Macaca fascicularis: one gene and its partners. The protein of the gene in region 1 purifies or fractionates together with the protein of each later gene. This does not show direct contact. Links are inferred from orthologs where the notes say so. Each region holds a gene or a part of one and is shown in the gene's direction. Other genes may lie near its edges.

Region 1 (4,208 bases):
TCATTTTCGATTTGAGTAAGTATTACCAAAAGCGCAAGTTATTTAAGTGAGCCCTGATTCGCTCTTCTTTGTAAACAGTGGACAATAATGAGCTTCTCAAACGTTTCTTATAAGGATTAAATGAGATGGGGATGTAAAAGCCCAGTATATTAGCAAGCAGGCTGTCAATGAATATTGGCCTCCATCTTTTTTTATGGAGAAAGACAACTATTTATGCATATTATGATGACTATAGCTTAACCATGAGCTCAACAAACACAAAAATTCACAGAAAATTCTGCGATACCGTATCTATTTTAAACCACATTATTGAATGTAACTAGTGAAACCTCAGGTCAAATAGAATGTATTTAAGGAGACACAAACTTGACATTAACTCTAAATATCAGAGTATTGAAGATTTGATAGTTGTCTCTTCTTACAAATATATCCCTCATAATAAAAAAGCACTCCACTAATATGCCAATTATGATACATCTTCCAGTTGTGTTTTGTCCTTGAGCGAAAAATCTTGCTGCTCAATTCAAGTCATTCGTTTATTCATAACACCCATATATATATCTCCAACCCTGGAGAGAAACACTGACAGAAAGATGGAAAATTTTAGAGCCCTCGTTTCCACTTCAGAGAGCCTGTTGTCCCCTAAACCTCTTGGGCCCTCGGGCATTTTTAAACTTATCAAGATTCCAGAATGAGGTTAATGGGACGTCACAAAACGAACCCCCCACCGTCCCGTCCCAGGGGCTCCAAGCCAGGACCCCAGCCTGAGGGAGCCTCCGGGCAGGAGAAAGAGGCCCAGGAAGCCATTGCTCCGTTCCTTCCCGGCTGTTTACGTGGCACTCAAGGTACTCGGCCAAGGGCACGGCGACCCCGCAACACCCCCGGCGTGGGGCAAAGACAGCGGGGTTGCGGGGCTCCTGTCTGCCGGGAGCGTCGAGAGTTCCTGCCCCCCCGCCCGCCTCATGCACGGAAAGCCCCGAGCCACGGCGTGCGGCGCTGGCCGAGCGTGAACCGGAGTCGGGTTCGGCTCCCCCGAGCGGCTGTGCGGGCCGCGGAGCGCTTCCCGTGGGGCGGCCACGCAGGGTGCGGGCCATGGCCCGGGGCGCCTGTCCGGATCCCGCCGCCGCGCGGGACGCAGCCCCCGTCCTCGACCCAGGGCGCCCGGCGGCGGCGGCAGCGACTGCCCGGGGCGGCGGCGCGGCGCGGCGCAGCGCGGGGGCGGCCAGGAGGCGAGGAGGCCGGGCCGCGGCCGAGGGCCCAGGGCGCGCTTCCGCCGGGCGCCGCGCGCGCCGCGGTAAATGGGAGGCTCGGCCGGCAGGGGCGGGGGCCGCGCAGCCGGGGACTTTCAGGAACTGCAGGAGCGGGCGGCGCGGGAGTAGCCGAGCGCCCAGCGGCTGGGCCTGAGCGTCGAGACTCGGGGCCGAGGCGCAGGAGCGGCCGCCGCGCCGGGGCCCAGCCGGAGCCGCCGCCCTCGCCCTTGCCTTCGTCCGCGCGGCTCAGAATCACCATCCGCGGCGCGGGAGACAAGCCGGCCGTCCCGGGCCGGGGGACCCGCCCGCCATGGCCACCAAGGTGAGGGGCGCGCAGCGCAGGCCCGGCCGGTCGCTCAGGCCCGCGGCGGCGCGGGGACGGTCGGGGCTGGGGCCGCGGGGAGGGTTGGGGCCGGGGGTGGCCGAGGGGTCACTCTGCGTCCTCGGTGGGGTCCCCGGGCGGGTCCGCGGCCCAGCCAGTCCCTTCTGGGCATGGGTGCGGCGGACCGTGCAGACGGCCGGGATCGCGCCGGGGGAGGGCGTCGGGTCTGGGCGCGGGTTGGGACCCCGGGCGCAGCGACGTTTGGGAAGTTTGCACCTGAGCGTGGGCTGCGGCGGGCTCGCCGGGAGGGGCCGCGAGAGCGGGACGGAAACTTCCCGCAGCCCGGGGAGGCCCCCGAGGCGACAGGCTCTCTGTGGCGTCCGGTGTCCCCGCGGCGTCTGGCGTCCCCGCCGCCCCCACGTCCCCTCCCGCTGCCGCCCAGGGGACCCTCGGCCCCGTGGGGCGGGTGGGGGTCGAGACCTCAGCAGAGAGGACGCTGCGCTTCCCGTCCCGGCCTGCGGGAGCTCGCGGCCGGGGAGAGACGGAGGCTGGGACACCCCGCGCCCCTCTGCCTTCTCTGCTGTTATTTTTTTCTTTTGTTTTGCTACCTTCTCAGTGTGAATGGTATTGCCGGCATGAATAAAATATCAAGAGGGAAATGACTGTGCTTTCGATTACGTGTTTGCCTAAAAAAGGCCCAGGCCCGAATTACGTGGTGGAACTTTGACTCCTGCTTGGTAATTGGCTAGGAGCGGTGGTTTGCTTGTTTTGCATTATTGTTTATGAAATTAGCAGTCACTCTTTGCTACCTGAATCTTCAAAAGCCACCCTCCCCCACTTCTTTTCCTTGGGCGTTTTCAGTAGTTACTTGGTGTAAAATAGTCACTGGGGAGTCATGGTCGCGGAAGGAGGACCTGGGGGAGGAGGCTCTGTACCTGAACCATTAACTGTTCTGTGATACGCTGTGAGGAGTAGGTTTACTTTTGCACTTAGTTTTTGTAGTGTCACTTTATTAGCATCAGCACCCCTTTCCCTATTTTTTTTTTTTTTTTTGAGATCTCTGAGCTACTTTTGGGTTGCTAGAAACGTTATTTTTTATATTTCGATAGGTGTTTGCTTTTTTTGGTGGAGTGTTAAGGTAGGAAATGGTAAGAAATGTGAAATCTGTTTAAAAGATCAGCGTTGCTTGACTTCGGTCTGCTAGATGTTGTCCTGTGGTAAATTTTGTGCTCTGAATCCATCTAGGTGCAGCGTTTATAGAGAAGTGGGGATTCTCCTCCAGGGAACCTGTTGCTGCTGTTACTGAAATAATTACCTTCTTGTTAATATATTATTGCCTGTGCTGTGCTTTGGTTTTATTAATGTGATAGAACTTGCCACCTTTTGAACTTATTAATTTTGTGTTGACCTTTTTAAAAATAAAACTTAGGCCAAGGATTTCTAAGGAAATTTGATTTTGAGGTTTGTTGCCAGACACTCCAGAAATTACCAGTTACACATCCTAGTACACGCTCATCTTGCAACCTTAACAGCGGTTTATAGGCTGGGCGCGGCGGCTCACTCCCACCTGTAATACCAGCACTTTGGGAGGCCGCGGTGGGCGGTTCACCTGAGGTCGGAGCTCCATACAGCCTGGCCAATATGGTGAAACTCCGTCTCTACTAAAAATACAAAAATTAGCTGGGCGTGGTGGCGCGCGCCTGTAGCCCCAGCTGCTCCGGGAGGCCGAGGCAGGAGAATCGCTTGAACCCGGGAGGCGGAGGTTGCAGTGAGCCAAGATGGCGTCACCGCACTCCGGCCTGGGCTACAGAGCGAGGAGACTCCGTTTGAAAAAAAAAAAAAAACCAAGGCGGTGTATGACATAGAGATCTGTCCAGTGGTGGTCTGTGTGTTTTTACACTCCGGTCTACTGAGGCATGTTACCTGTACTGTCCTTTAAGTGGAATGCAGTTTAGCAACTAGTGCAGGTATACGTAGTGAAATTTTTATTTCATAGTTAAGCCTGAACTTAATTTTTTTTTCAAAAAATTGAAAAGTGGTTCTTGTATATTAATCTTGAATTGCATGTGTCTTTGCTTAAACACGAGCCTTAAAACATGCATAAGCACTTCCTACTTCGTTATCTACACCACTCCGAAGGCAAATTCCAGTAATTCTGTTAGTTTCTTTCGCTGTCTAATCACTGTTCCACATGGTGCTCATTTCCATGTCTACATTGTGACAGACCATTTCCATTTTAAGAAAAAGAAGAGCAATGAAGCAGTTATTAGAAGAAGACCCTTCCTTAGTTTTCTGACATCCTGGTGATACTTGGGTCAAACCAAAGTCTCATTTTTTAATTGTCCCCAGAGAGACAAGTTGCTACTTTCACTTGCCCCATATACACACCCCTTCCCCACACCTGAGTAGTTCTGTTTTTTTTCTTCGTCTTCTTCAAGGGTGGGGAGAATGTGCTTAGTAGTAATGACTAATTTTTAATAAATGGCTCCAGTGGCACTCAGGCTGTTGCTGTAAGTATTAAGTGATGAAACGTAAATTCAGGATCTGGATATTTTAGGGGATGTTCATTTCCCTTTGAATTTACCAGAAACTTGGCTATAGTATCTTCAGATACAATTTTCTTGTTTGTTCTTAAG
Region 2 (3,563 bases), on another chromosome or scaffold:
GGTATCCACGGGAGGTCCTGGAACCAATCTCCCATAGTACTGTACTTCTCTGTCATCTTAATGAATACTTAAGGAAAAAGTAAAATGTATAAGTTTGAGTTTACTCACCCAGTGAGTAGTCATTTAATGTCTTTATATTTTCTTTGTAAAGAAGTAATAAATTAGATTTTGAAGTGTGGTTTTCTTTTGGCTAAATTATAGATTTTCCTTTTTAAAGGAAACAAAAACAGCCTAAGCTTCCTTCAGAGTCTTAGGAAATTTGGGTAGATGAAGGTGTAATTGGCAATTGTCATAAAAGAGGCTACTGTCAATTATCTTTTTAAAAAATTCTCTTTTTAATATTTTCTTGTAGCACAACAAATCAGAAGCTCTGGGCTGTAGAACTTCAGAAGACAATCTCCAGAGACAACAAGTATGTGCTGCTGGCTTCTGAACAGTTGGTGGGCGTCTGTTTGTTTGTTTTTATCAGACCACAGCATGCTCCTTTTATCAGGTCAGTAAACAGAACACTCCTCTAAGGCTACTTCCTACCATTACATAACAAGAAAAGCCTAGAATGTTTATTGTTTCAGTTCTTCAAACAAAAACTATCTATAGTTCTTGTTTTAAAATGGGGTTTTGGGGGTTTTGATTAAAGACTCACTAATAGCTTCACTGTACTATTTCAAAGGCTTGCCCTCAAAGTACCATACCATGTGTACTTATATGATTATGTATATTCCTAATTTCCTATGCACATGGAACTCTTGAAATTTCAAATCTGCGATTTAGAATTCTTTGTTTCAAAGGGATGTTGCAGTTGATACTGTGAAGACTGGAATGGGAGGTGCAACTGGAAATAAGGGAGCAGTTGCAATCCGAATGCTCTTCCATACAACCAGCCTTTGCTTTGTCTGTAGCCACTTTGCTGCAGGACAGTCACAAGTCAAAGAAAGAAACGAAGATTTTGTAGAAATAGCACGAAAATTGAGTTTTCCTATGGTAAGCTCTTGCTGCTTGTTCTTGAAGATAAAGCTTTGAAATGTATTTTAATTTGCCCCAAATTCTACATCATTGTTTTTGAAACTTTAAGATAGTTCCTAGAAACATTAAGAATATTCACCTAAATAGATATTTCATGTATATTAACCCAAAATATCTGAGACAGGTCTCAGTCAATTTGGAAAGTTTATTTTGCCAAGGTTAAGGACGTGGCCATGATGTAGCCTCCAGAATTCAGAATGAGATGTGCCCAAGGTGGTCAGGGGCACAGTTTGCTTTTATACATTTTAGGGAGACCTGAGACATCAGCCAATATGTGTATGATGTACACTGGTTCGGTCTGGTAAGGCAGGACAACTCGAAGTCAGGGCTTTCAGGTTAGAAGTAGATAAGAGGCAAAAGGTTGCATTCTTTTAAGTCCTAGATCAGCCTTCCACTGAATACATAATTTAGTCTGGCTCAGTGAATCCGCATTTTTACATAAACAATAGGGCAGAGGAAGCAGGCAGATGTGCATTTGTCTCAGGTGAGTCTCAGAGGGATGACTTTGAGTTCTGTCTATACTTTGTCCACAAGGAATTTCCTGTGGGCAAATTGTGAGGGAGTATGTAGCTTCTTATCTTTGGAGCTATCTTATTTAGGAATAAAGTGAGAGGCAGGTTTACCTGTCATAGTTCCTGGCTTGATTTTTCTCTGGGCTTAGTGATTTTGGGGTCCTGAGATTGATTTTCCTTTCACATGTGTTATTACTGTTGGGTTAAAGAAACAGGACATGGGAGGAGACAAGCATATCTCAGGCAAAGAAACAGTTGTAAAACATTTTTGAACATTGATTGTTTTGAATTTAAAGTTCTGTCTCATTGCTTTCAGGGAAGGATGCTGTTTTCCCATGACTATGTATTTTGGTGTGGTGATTTCAACTATCGAATTGATCTCCCTAATGAAGAAGTTAAAGAGCTCATAAGACAGCAAAATTGGGATTCTCTTATAGCAGGAGATCAACTTATCAATCAGAAAAATGCTGGACAGGTATATCCATACTTCTTGCATTAAGATTTTGGGTCATGAAACATGCCTTTTTAAATCAAGATGTTTTAAAATTTTCTTGGGGTCTTTTTATACTTAAATATTTATAGGTAGGTAAATAGATAATAGAATTATCTTTCCTTAAAGTATAGTAGGATGAGCTGCACGCAGACAAGAATCCCTCAGACACCGAGTTGTAGAAGGAAAGGGCTTTATTCAGCTGGGAGCATCAGCGGACTCACGTCTCCAAAAACCGAGCTCCCCGAGTGAGCAATTCCTGGGTCATGATCGATTGAGCAAGCAGGGGGTATGTGACTGGGGGCTGCATGCACTGGTAATCAGAATGGAACAGAACAGGACAAGGATTTTCATGATGCTTTTCCATACAATGTCTGAAATCTATAGATAACACAAGCAGTTAGGTCAATGGTTAATTTTTAACTACCAGGCCCAGAGCTCGGTGCTGGGTTGTCTGCCTGTGGCTTCCATTTCTGCCTTTTAGTTTTTACTTCTTCTTTCTTTGGAGGCAGAAATTGGGCATAAGACAATATGAGGGGTGGTCTCCTGCCTTATTCCCCTCTTTGAGAACTTCACTCATTAGTGGGAGTTCTCACTTTCATCCTCACTTACCCATGTCGTCTTGCAAGACAGATCGATAGTGATTCATATAGTATACTTGTGCTGAAGCATTTTGGTGAACTAAAGTAGCAATGAAGCTTTTTATCATTTGAAAAAGTACAGGTAGCAAACAAGGGAGCAGTAAACAGGTTCCTATTACTATTATAACTCTTATTATAAGAGTTTTAAATCCTCCTTTCGCTGGGAACCATTTTCCAAGCATGGCCCCAGGATCAAATCCATGCCACACTTGCACAGGTACATGTGCCAGTTTTATCATATCTCTATGTCTTCAACTACTTGCCCTTGATCATCTATGTATAGACAGCAATTAGTAAGGTTAAATTTCCCACAGACCCCCTCCTTCAGCTGCTAGCAAGTAGTTGAGAGCCAATCTATTTTGATAGATAGCATTTCTTATCTGAGTTTCTTGCTGGGCCAGAATAGTCAAGGCTCTGCAGGTTTTATTAGTGATTATTTCTAAGATAGCTTATAACTGTATGATTCGCTTGAGCATGTAAATGGTATCCTCCTGAGCCATCTTGTGCCCAAGTAGCAGGCCCGTAATATTGTATGATTCTCTCAGGGGGCCATTCATCATCTTTCCAATTCCTATAGCTATGCTTCTCTTTTCGTGGGAAGCATAGACAGGGAAGCCCAGGAGTTCGCCTGTCTTTATGGGCAGTAGGAAGAAAGATGGTTTAATAGTGCCAACACAACTACCTGCCCACTGGTCAGGTAATTTGACGTAAGCTGTATGCCCACATATCCAGTATAATCCAGTGGGGGCTGTCCAGTTCCCCGGGAGTCCGGGTGGGTCCACATGGTTTGCAACTTTGGGAATTTACTAAGTGGATTCCTTTCTGTGTGATTTGAACTCCACCAAGTGACTGTTTTTGTGGTACCATTATACAGTTTCTGTCCCAGACAACTAAGTT
Region 3 (3,563 bases), on another chromosome or scaffold:
AACAAATTAATCAAATGATTCCCCCTAACTTATTTTACCTTCTGAAGATATATTTATATAACTTGGCATTCCATCCTGATGAAATGGTGATACTGAAGAGGGAAATGCTAACAGAACTCAGTGGTATCCTAGATCTAATGTTTTTAACAATCAGGTGCTGTTGTTTGCTTTGTCATTTGGACAGCCAAAATTTTCTTTAAATTATTTAATAGGCTTTGTGCTTTAGGGACTGGTTATAGTATTTAATTGCTCAACTGAAAATTAGCAAATTTAGCATCTATAGCATCTGTACTATGTTTAATATTTCTGAAGTATTAATTGTGATTCTTAGTAACTACTGTGTTCTGTGGGATGTTCATGAGGGATGAAGAGAGAATATCGGATAATTTGACTTATAATTAAAGAAACATTTTTTATAATATGGCAAAAATGCATGAATTTAAGTCGTGTCATTTTGGTTTTGTTTTTGTAGAATATGCTGAGTTTCTACATTGCAAAGGAAAGAAATTTACAGATTTTGATGAAGTTCGGCATGAGATTGAAGCAGAAACAGATCGCGTGACTGGAATGAATAAAGGCATTTCCTCCATACCCATTAATTTACGAGTCTATTCCCCACATGGTAAGTAAAATAATAAAATTCCAAATTCTTCTCCCCAAACATTTTTACTACATTAATTAACATACATCATTTGTACAGAAGATACAAACAGTGCTGGCTTTCTAGGGTATCCTTTGGATACTGCCCATTAATGTTATGGTTCAAAGAGCTCTTAGAACATTTAAGGAGAGGGAGGAGGAGATGACTTTAATAAAAACAGAATTGAGTTAGTCATTAAATATTTTTTCTTCATTTTCATAATAAGCTTTTAGAATTTGAGAAGGGTATGTATGAAAACTTCCATTTTTCAGTCTTTGCTGAAATCTTAGAGGTACATGTTACTATGGTTGCATCCTCCCCTATTGGATTTCTTGCAGCCATATATAGTCCTATTTATTTTCTTCCTGAGAAATCAGCTCTGAGTTTTCCCCCCAGACTATCGGTAGAAACTTATAAATTAGATAACCAATCCATAAGGTGTGATGGGAAATAGCCTCTATGCTGACTAAATTTTTAGTGGGCAAATTTTCATTTCTTATTCCCTACTTAGCTCTATTGCTTTTAAAACAGAATATAAATGACATAAGCTCAATTAGGACTTCCCAAGGGTACTTGGTGCCAACATTATTTGTACAGAGAGGTTGGGCTAGAGTCATGTTGTTGCTGACTCTGTTCATACAGCTAATTCAGTAAACCCAGGGCACCACGAATGGCTAACAGCTTTCTACTAGGCTAAGTGGTTAACTTTCTATAAAAAACATATGATACTTTTTAAGGAAAGGGCAAATCTTACCCTGCGAGTTTTTATACCACTTGAAGGCGATGTACAAGACTGGCAGACAGCATATGCATTTTTCGTTTGGTGTTTTAATTATAACCCCCTAGTTACAGATATGACAGCTTTCTGAGCAAACTGTTAGGCATGCAAATCAGTGCCTTTCAAATTATGTTAAAGTGATCATTTGGCATAGCACAATCATATCATAAAATTAGAGAAAACTAGCAAAACCATTTTTATTTTATGCTTTTTATTCTTCACACATGGGTTTGAGTTGTTCAGATACACAATGTAGAAAGCTGAGCTAAGTGACAAATGGTTCTGTGTTATCTTTTAGCATTGAAGGTGTATGTAAGACTCTTTTATCCTTTCCACACAGTGTTAAATCTAACCCTTATTGATCTACCTGGGATAACCAAAGTGCCCGTGGGAGATCAGCCACCAGATATTGAGTATCAGATCAGAGAAATGATTATGCAGTTCATCACGAGGGAGAACTGTCTGATTTTAGCTGTTACTCCAGCCAATACTGATCTTGCAAACTCAGATGCGCTGAAGCTAGCTAAAGAAGTTGATCCTCAAGGTGAGTGTGTGACTACTAAGATGAGAGGGAATTAAAGTGTCAGGAGTTTTGGTATCTTTAAAGGTAACACAAATTCTCAAGACTCGATTTCATTATAAATAAATTAGGCATTGTTAATATTGTTAAACCTTTTGTATTTTAAATACAAATTCAGTATTTAATATTAAAAATAATTTAGTAAAGATTTACTAAAATAATGAAATTTATATAGTCAAAACCTATATAAATCTAAGAATAATGAGATCAAGAAAATAGACATTTCTAAGCCTCATGGGCTATGTATTTTAAAAAGTTGATAAAGTAAACTTCTGGTACAGCAGAATTCAGACAATCTACTAATATTATGAGTTACCTGCATATACTCCCAACGAAAAGTCTTTCTGTGTTTTTTCTTTGTCTTGTTTCTTTAAAATAGGAAGCTCTATTAATGCATGTAAGATATTATTTAGTTTATAATTATTTGAGAACCAATATATATAAAAGCAGGGATTTATTTGTTATTGCCATCTCAAAATCCAGAAAAGTTCCTTTCTTAGGCGGATGTTTTAGCTTTTTATTTCTCTGAGTTGAATAATGACAGTTTATCATCAGAGACCTCAATGCTGGCCTCGGTGTGTGTCTGTTTAAAGTGACCACGGGGCCGGGTGCAGTGGCTCACGCCTGTAATCCCAGCACTTTGGGAGGCTGAGGCAGGTGGATCACGAGGTCAGGAGTTTAAGACCAGTCTGGCCAAGATGGTGAAACCCCATCTCTACTAAAAATACAAAAATTAGCTGGGCGTGGTGATGGGCGCCTACAATCCCAGCTACTTGGGAGGTTGAGGCAGAGGAGGTTGCAGTGAGCTGAGGTCGCACCATTGCATTCCAGCCTGGGCGACACAGCAAGAGAGCAAGACTCCATCTCAAAAAAACAAAAACAAACAAAAAAAAACATAATAATAATAAAGTGATTGCGGAAGGGCATTTAGTGATGTGCCCTTTTAATACGGAGATGCATGTACTTCAATTTTAGGAATTTTTCTTTGTTTCATAATTAATTGCCCCAATTTTCTTTGTTCTTTTTATCTGTAGTTCTTATTATTAGCAGGTTAGAACTCCTGAATGAATCCTTTATTTCAATCTTTCTTTTCTATAATCTATTTCTTGTCTTTTTGTTCTACTTTTAGCAAGATTTACTCAACTTTATCTTCTGCTTTTCCGATTCATTTTAAAAGTTCATTTTTTTTTACTTAGTGAATGTTATTTTTATTTTTAAAAATAGCATCTTGTTCTTGTTTTCACAAATATAATATCTTCCTCCAAGGATTTTAGTGAGAGCTTTTTGAAGGTTTTCTTTTGTAATCGACATTGTCTGAGTCCATTGTTTTCTGATTGTTTGTTTTTGTTTCTGTCTTTGATGTTAGAGACCTTTTTCAAATGTTTGTCCATCTTTTGCCACTTGTTCGTGCATGAAAGTGGAGCACCAAAAGCTAATTTGTGTACATGAGAGGGATTCATTGACCAGTGGGTTTTCCCGTGGAGTAACTGTGCTGAGAGTTGACCATTTTGTTAGGAGACTTCCTCAATCGTTAGGTTCTAAGAGTATTTTCTCCTGAGCTGCTC
Region 4 (4,258 bases), on another chromosome or scaffold:
TCACAGCACAGGGAAATGACTCACTGACTCCCCATAAGCACAGTGTAGGCTAGCCTTCCCTTCCTAGCCTCCGCCATGAATACTAATTAGGTTTCTTAAATGCAGAGGTGGATGGCTGGGCTCAGGGCCCCATGGTCTCTCCGTGTGAAAGGGTAAGCAGGGCAGGATTGTAGGAGGCTTGGATTTGAATCCCACTGCTTTTTTTTTTTTTTTTTTTTTTGTGAGACGGAGTCTCGCTCTGTCGCCCAGGCTGGAGTGCAGTGGCGCGATCTCGGCTCACTGCAAGCTCCGCCTCCCGGGTTCATGCCATTCTCCTGCCTCAGCCTCCTGAGTAGCTGGGACCACAGACGTCCGCCACCACGCCCAGCTAATTTTTTGTATTTTTAGTAGAGATGGGGTTTCGCCGTGTTAGCCAGGTGATCTCCCGACCTCGTGATCTGCCCGCCTCGGCCTCCCAAAGTGCTGGGATTACAGGGGTGAGCCACCTCGCCCGGCCGAATCCCACCGTTTTATGCTGTTTTACCACCATCCTAATGGGCTGGAGCAAAGACTTCCAACTCTAGGGCAAGAGCTTCCAATTCTCCCAAGAAGGGCCTTTCAGGCATCAGGGCCTCTGCACTTGCTGGTCATTCAGCCTGGCATGCTCTTCCCCCGATCTGCTTGCTGCTGGCTCCTTGTCATCGTTCTGGTCTCTTCTTAAATGTCACTTCTGCAGAGAAGTCCCCCGACTCCTCCCAAGTCAATGTGAACTTTCCACACCCACAATGATACCTTTTTTTCACACTGTTTATTTCCTCCATCCCTGTTACTATAAACTATTTTCATTTTTACTGTTTTGTGTATCTGCTTATCCATTTAGTGTCGATCTCACCAGCTTGATGCAAGATCTATGAGGGCAGAGGCCTTGGCTGTCTTATTCGTTGCTCAATCTTCCGTGCCTAGGACAGGGCCTGGCTTCTAGCAGGTACCTAGTAAATATTTGTTGAATTCATGCTCCAACTTTCTCCTTCTAGAAACAAGGAAACTGAGGACCAAAGGCAGAAAGGGACATGTTGGAGATCAGAGTCAGGATCTAGGGGTCGAAGGCAGCGAGGTGAAGGGGAACTCCAGGTCAGGAAGCTGTGACCTCAGAGGAAGCCCATCTACTCTCCAGGCCTCAGTTTCCTCATCGGTAAGATAGAGTGAAACATCCATGACCACTATCCAAGAGGCCTGGTACTAGGAGTGAGACCCCACCCATTGACAAATATATTCTGCGCAGCATCCGTCCGCGCACCCTAGACACTGCTAAAGCACCCCGAAAGCCGCAGAAGGTTAAAACTACGACACCCATGGTGCCCCGGGCGGCGCCTGCGCACGGCGGCCGGCCCGCAGCGTCGCGGGCTCCCCCTAGCGGCTTCCCGGAGCGGTGCTCGCTCCGATCCCCGAGGGGCGGGGGCCGCGCGGCTCAGGCAGTCGGGGCGCGAGGCTGCAGCGGCGGAGCCGGAGTCGGAGCCGGGAGCGCGAGCGGCAGCCGGATCGCAGCCTGCGGGGCCCGCCGCAGCCATGGGCAACCGCGGCATGGAAGATCTCATCCCGCTGGTCAACCGGCTGCAAGACGCCTTCTCTGCCATCGGCCAGAACGCGGACCTCGACCTGCCGCAGATCGCCGTGGTGGGCGGCCAGAGCGCCGGCAAGAGCTCGGTGCTCGAGAATTTCGTAGGCAGGTAGGCGCGGCGCGCCCCCAGGCGCCGACCCCCGACCCCCAGGATCCCCGGAGTCCCTGCCCGGGGCACCGACGGCGCGGCGACCTCGCAGCCCCCGACGCTGCACCCGCGGCCGGCGCGCCCCCCACCCCCAGCCGGAGCGAGGCGGCCCTCCCCACCTCGAGAGCCCCTCCGGGCAGCAGCGCCGCCCGCTAGTCTGCAAACGTCGTCAAGCCTCCGGCTGCCGAATCACGCCCCCTCCTCCGTCCCATCCTTTAGGGCAGACAACCCTCTGACAGAAGCCCTGGCCAAAGGGCTGCCCCCCGCCCCCAACATGGGCATGGAGAGAGCCCGCATTACTCAGCGCCTCCGTTGGGCTCCGGGAGTCCCTTGGAGCGGGCAGCACCCGGGGGCAGCGGCCCCCCCACCGGACTCTATGGGGGACATCCTCCTACCCCCATGGGAATTCCTGGGCCGTGGCAGGGGTCAGACCCCCACCCCAGTCCCTAAAAGAGGACGTAGTCCCGTGGGCATCGAGGACCCGGTACGGCCTCCCCCCGGCACACACACACCTCTGCGGCTCCCGCCGCCATCCGTGCGCAGCGCGGCGGAGAGGGGGAGGCGCGGGCTGCAGGATGAGGAAGGGAAGAGGGGAGGAGAAACCACTTCTTATCCTTCTCTGAGCAGCCGGCCCCTTGCTTCGCCACGGCCCCTGGGTGGGGGGCGCCTCTCAGTGTCGCCGTCCCCTTGGCCTGGCCAGAGGGATCGTGATGGAGGGAGAGGCGGCAGAGGGCAGAGATGACTAAGACCGGGATGGCGGGAGGGGGGAGCCATTTGCAGAACCTAATCCCCCTCCCGCCTCTGATCCCACAAGGCGCTGGGAGGCCTAGGTGGCGGAGAGGGGAGCAACCACAAAGACAAAGGGTCCTGGGATTACGGGGGCAGGGAGGGTCGTGACCCCCAGGCTCTCCCCAAACCCCCAGGGGGAGGAAGAAACAGTTTTTCTGGTGCTGAGGACAGAGAGGAAAGATAGGAGCTCTCCAGGTACTGGAGGTGAGATGGGGGGCTGGGCAGACTGGGAGACGAAGTGAGAGAGTTTACACTGACCCCCTCTTTCATCTCCCCCCCATCTTCTTCAGAAACCCTTGCTTTCTTCCAATGACCTTCAGGGCCAAAAAAGTGACTGGCACATGGGAGAGGGAGGCAGGGGTCCTTCTCCGCAGAGGGACAGCAATTCTGTCCAAGCCAGGTTCTGCTGCAAAACCTCAGGCAAGTCACTTGCCCTCTCTGAGCCTTAGTGTCCCCATCTCTAACATGGACAGTGGGACTAGATGGTTGTTCCTGCCCCTCAAATGTCCTGGGAAACCCATGCCAGCCCTAGAGGTGAGAGGGAGAGGGCCTGACTGGAGCCACGTATGTGTGGGATGTTGGAATGCCACCGTGGAGGCGGCCGTGCCCATCTGGTCAGCAGAGGGGGAGGCATCTGTCTCTCCGATGGCTCCTGCAGAACCCCCCTTCTGATCACATGACCCCCAGAGCTGCAGAGACCCAGGCAAGAGACACACAATGAGCCCCTTCCCCAAGGGCCGGCAGTCAGGGACAGCCAACAGTTTAGAGTGGAGAAACCATATTCCTACCTCTCCTCCTTTGAATGTTGGCTGAATTCCTGCCCCACGCCAGGCTGCGTGCTCCAGGCTTGGGGTAGGGAGGGAACCAACTGGTGATTTCAGCCCCCGTCTACTGAGTCCATCCTATGTACCCCCTATGCTGAATCAGTCATAGGCTCACAGGAGCTCCCAAGAGGCAGGCACCATGATGCCCATCCTACAGATGAGGAAACTGAGACCCTGGAGGTTAAATGCCTTGCCCAAGGTCACACATTCAGGAAGGGCAGCAGCTGTTAGACTCCAAAGCCCAGTTCCTAATCTCGACGCTGCACATCCTCTGAGAGCCGGATCCTGCACCAGACACAGGGACAAGCGGGTGGGTGGGCCTCCATTTCCCCATCTGTGGAATGGGAACGCTGACAGCCACTGCCCTGCCTTCCTGAGAAGGTGACTGTGGGCTCCACTGAGTTCATGGGTGGAAAGGTTCTTTTGTAAATATGCGGGACAGGGCGTTGATAGCCAATTAGGCTTGGGGACCTGCATGTCCAGCCCCTGCCCTCCTGGAGCCCATGATGCAGGGGCCAGCCCTGACCACGGCAGATTTCAGCAAGTACTTGCTGGCTGAGTGGCGGAGCAGGGTGTGGACTGTACCCCAGGAGGCCTGGGCCCTCTGGCTGCCCTCTGCACCCCAATGCCCTTGGCCAGGTCCCCACAGGAGGATGTGCAGGGTGTCCAGATGCAGGCTCAGGGCAGGGGAGGGGGCTTAGGTTGATGTGAAGGAGTAGGCAGGAAAGCATTCATGATCCCCTGAAAGCTAGTGAGAAGGCCAGGGAAACTGAGGCTCAGTGGGTTCCACCATCTCAGCCTGACAGCTCCTTCAAGGGCTCCTGACCTCTCCAACAGGGCTCAGTCCCCAGCCTGGTGAGCATAGTAACAGCCATTCTGTCTCCTGGGGCTTCCCAGGAG

What was found.
Region 2: the proteins of SNX9 (region 1) and SYNJ1 purify together in Homo sapiens (co-immunoprecipitation; 3 studies listed by BioGRID and IntAct, counting the BioPlex papers as one, with this or other methods). This does not show direct contact. The link is inferred for Macaca fascicularis from reciprocal best matches to the Homo sapiens genes SNX9 and SYNJ1.
Region 3: the proteins of SNX9 (region 1) and DNM3 purify together in Homo sapiens (co-immunoprecipitation; 3 studies listed by BioGRID and IntAct, counting the BioPlex papers as one, with this or other methods). This does not show direct contact. The link is inferred for Macaca fascicularis from reciprocal best matches to the Homo sapiens genes SNX9 and DNM3.
Region 4: the proteins of SNX9 (region 1) and DNM1 purify together in Homo sapiens (co-immunoprecipitation; 6 studies listed by BioGRID and IntAct, counting the BioPlex papers as one, with this or other methods). This does not show direct contact. The link is inferred for Macaca fascicularis from reciprocal best matches to the Homo sapiens genes SNX9 and DNM1.

The regions. Positions count from the first base shown.
Region 1 is NC_088378.1:66,161,052-66,165,259, forward strand, and holds the start of SNX9 (sorting nexin-9), read left to right. Parts: upstream 1-1,371; 5' UTR 1,372-1,560; coding exon 1,561-1,572; intron 1,573-4,208. UniProt on the Homo sapiens protein: Involved in endocytosis and intracellular vesicle trafficking, both during interphase and at the end of mitosis. Required for efficient progress through mitosis and cytokinesis. Required for normal formation of the cleavage furrow at the end of mitosis.
Region 2 is NC_088377.1:14,231,752-14,235,314, forward strand, and holds part of SYNJ1 (synaptojanin-1), read left to right. Parts: intron 1-352; coding exon 353-493; intron 494-788; coding exon 789-981; intron 982-1,851; coding exon 1,852-2,010; intron 2,011-3,563. UniProt on the Homo sapiens protein: Phosphatase that acts on various phosphoinositides, including phosphatidylinositol 4-phosphate, phosphatidylinositol (4,5)-bisphosphate and phosphatidylinositol (3,4,5)-trisphosphate. Has a role in clathrin-mediated endocytosis.
Region 3 is NC_088375.1:29,601,735-29,605,297, forward strand, and holds part of DNM3 (dynamin-3), read left to right. Parts: intron 1-472; coding exon 473-622; intron 623-1,758; coding exon 1,759-1,962; intron 1,963-3,563. UniProt on the Homo sapiens protein: Microtubule-associated force-producing protein involved in producing microtubule bundles and able to bind and hydrolyze GTP. Most probably involved in vesicular trafficking processes, in particular endocytosis.
Region 4 is NC_088389.1:15,777,604-15,781,861, reverse strand, and holds the start of DNM1 (dynamin-1), read left to right. Parts: upstream 1-1,453; 5' UTR 1,454-1,545; coding exon 1,546-1,706; intron 1,707-2,257; exon of another isoform or gene 2,258-2,530; intron 2,531-4,258. UniProt on the Homo sapiens protein: Catalyzes the hydrolysis of GTP and utilizes this energy to mediate vesicle scission and participates in many forms of endocytosis, such as clathrin-mediated endocytosis or synaptic vesicle endocytosis as well as rapid endocytosis (RE).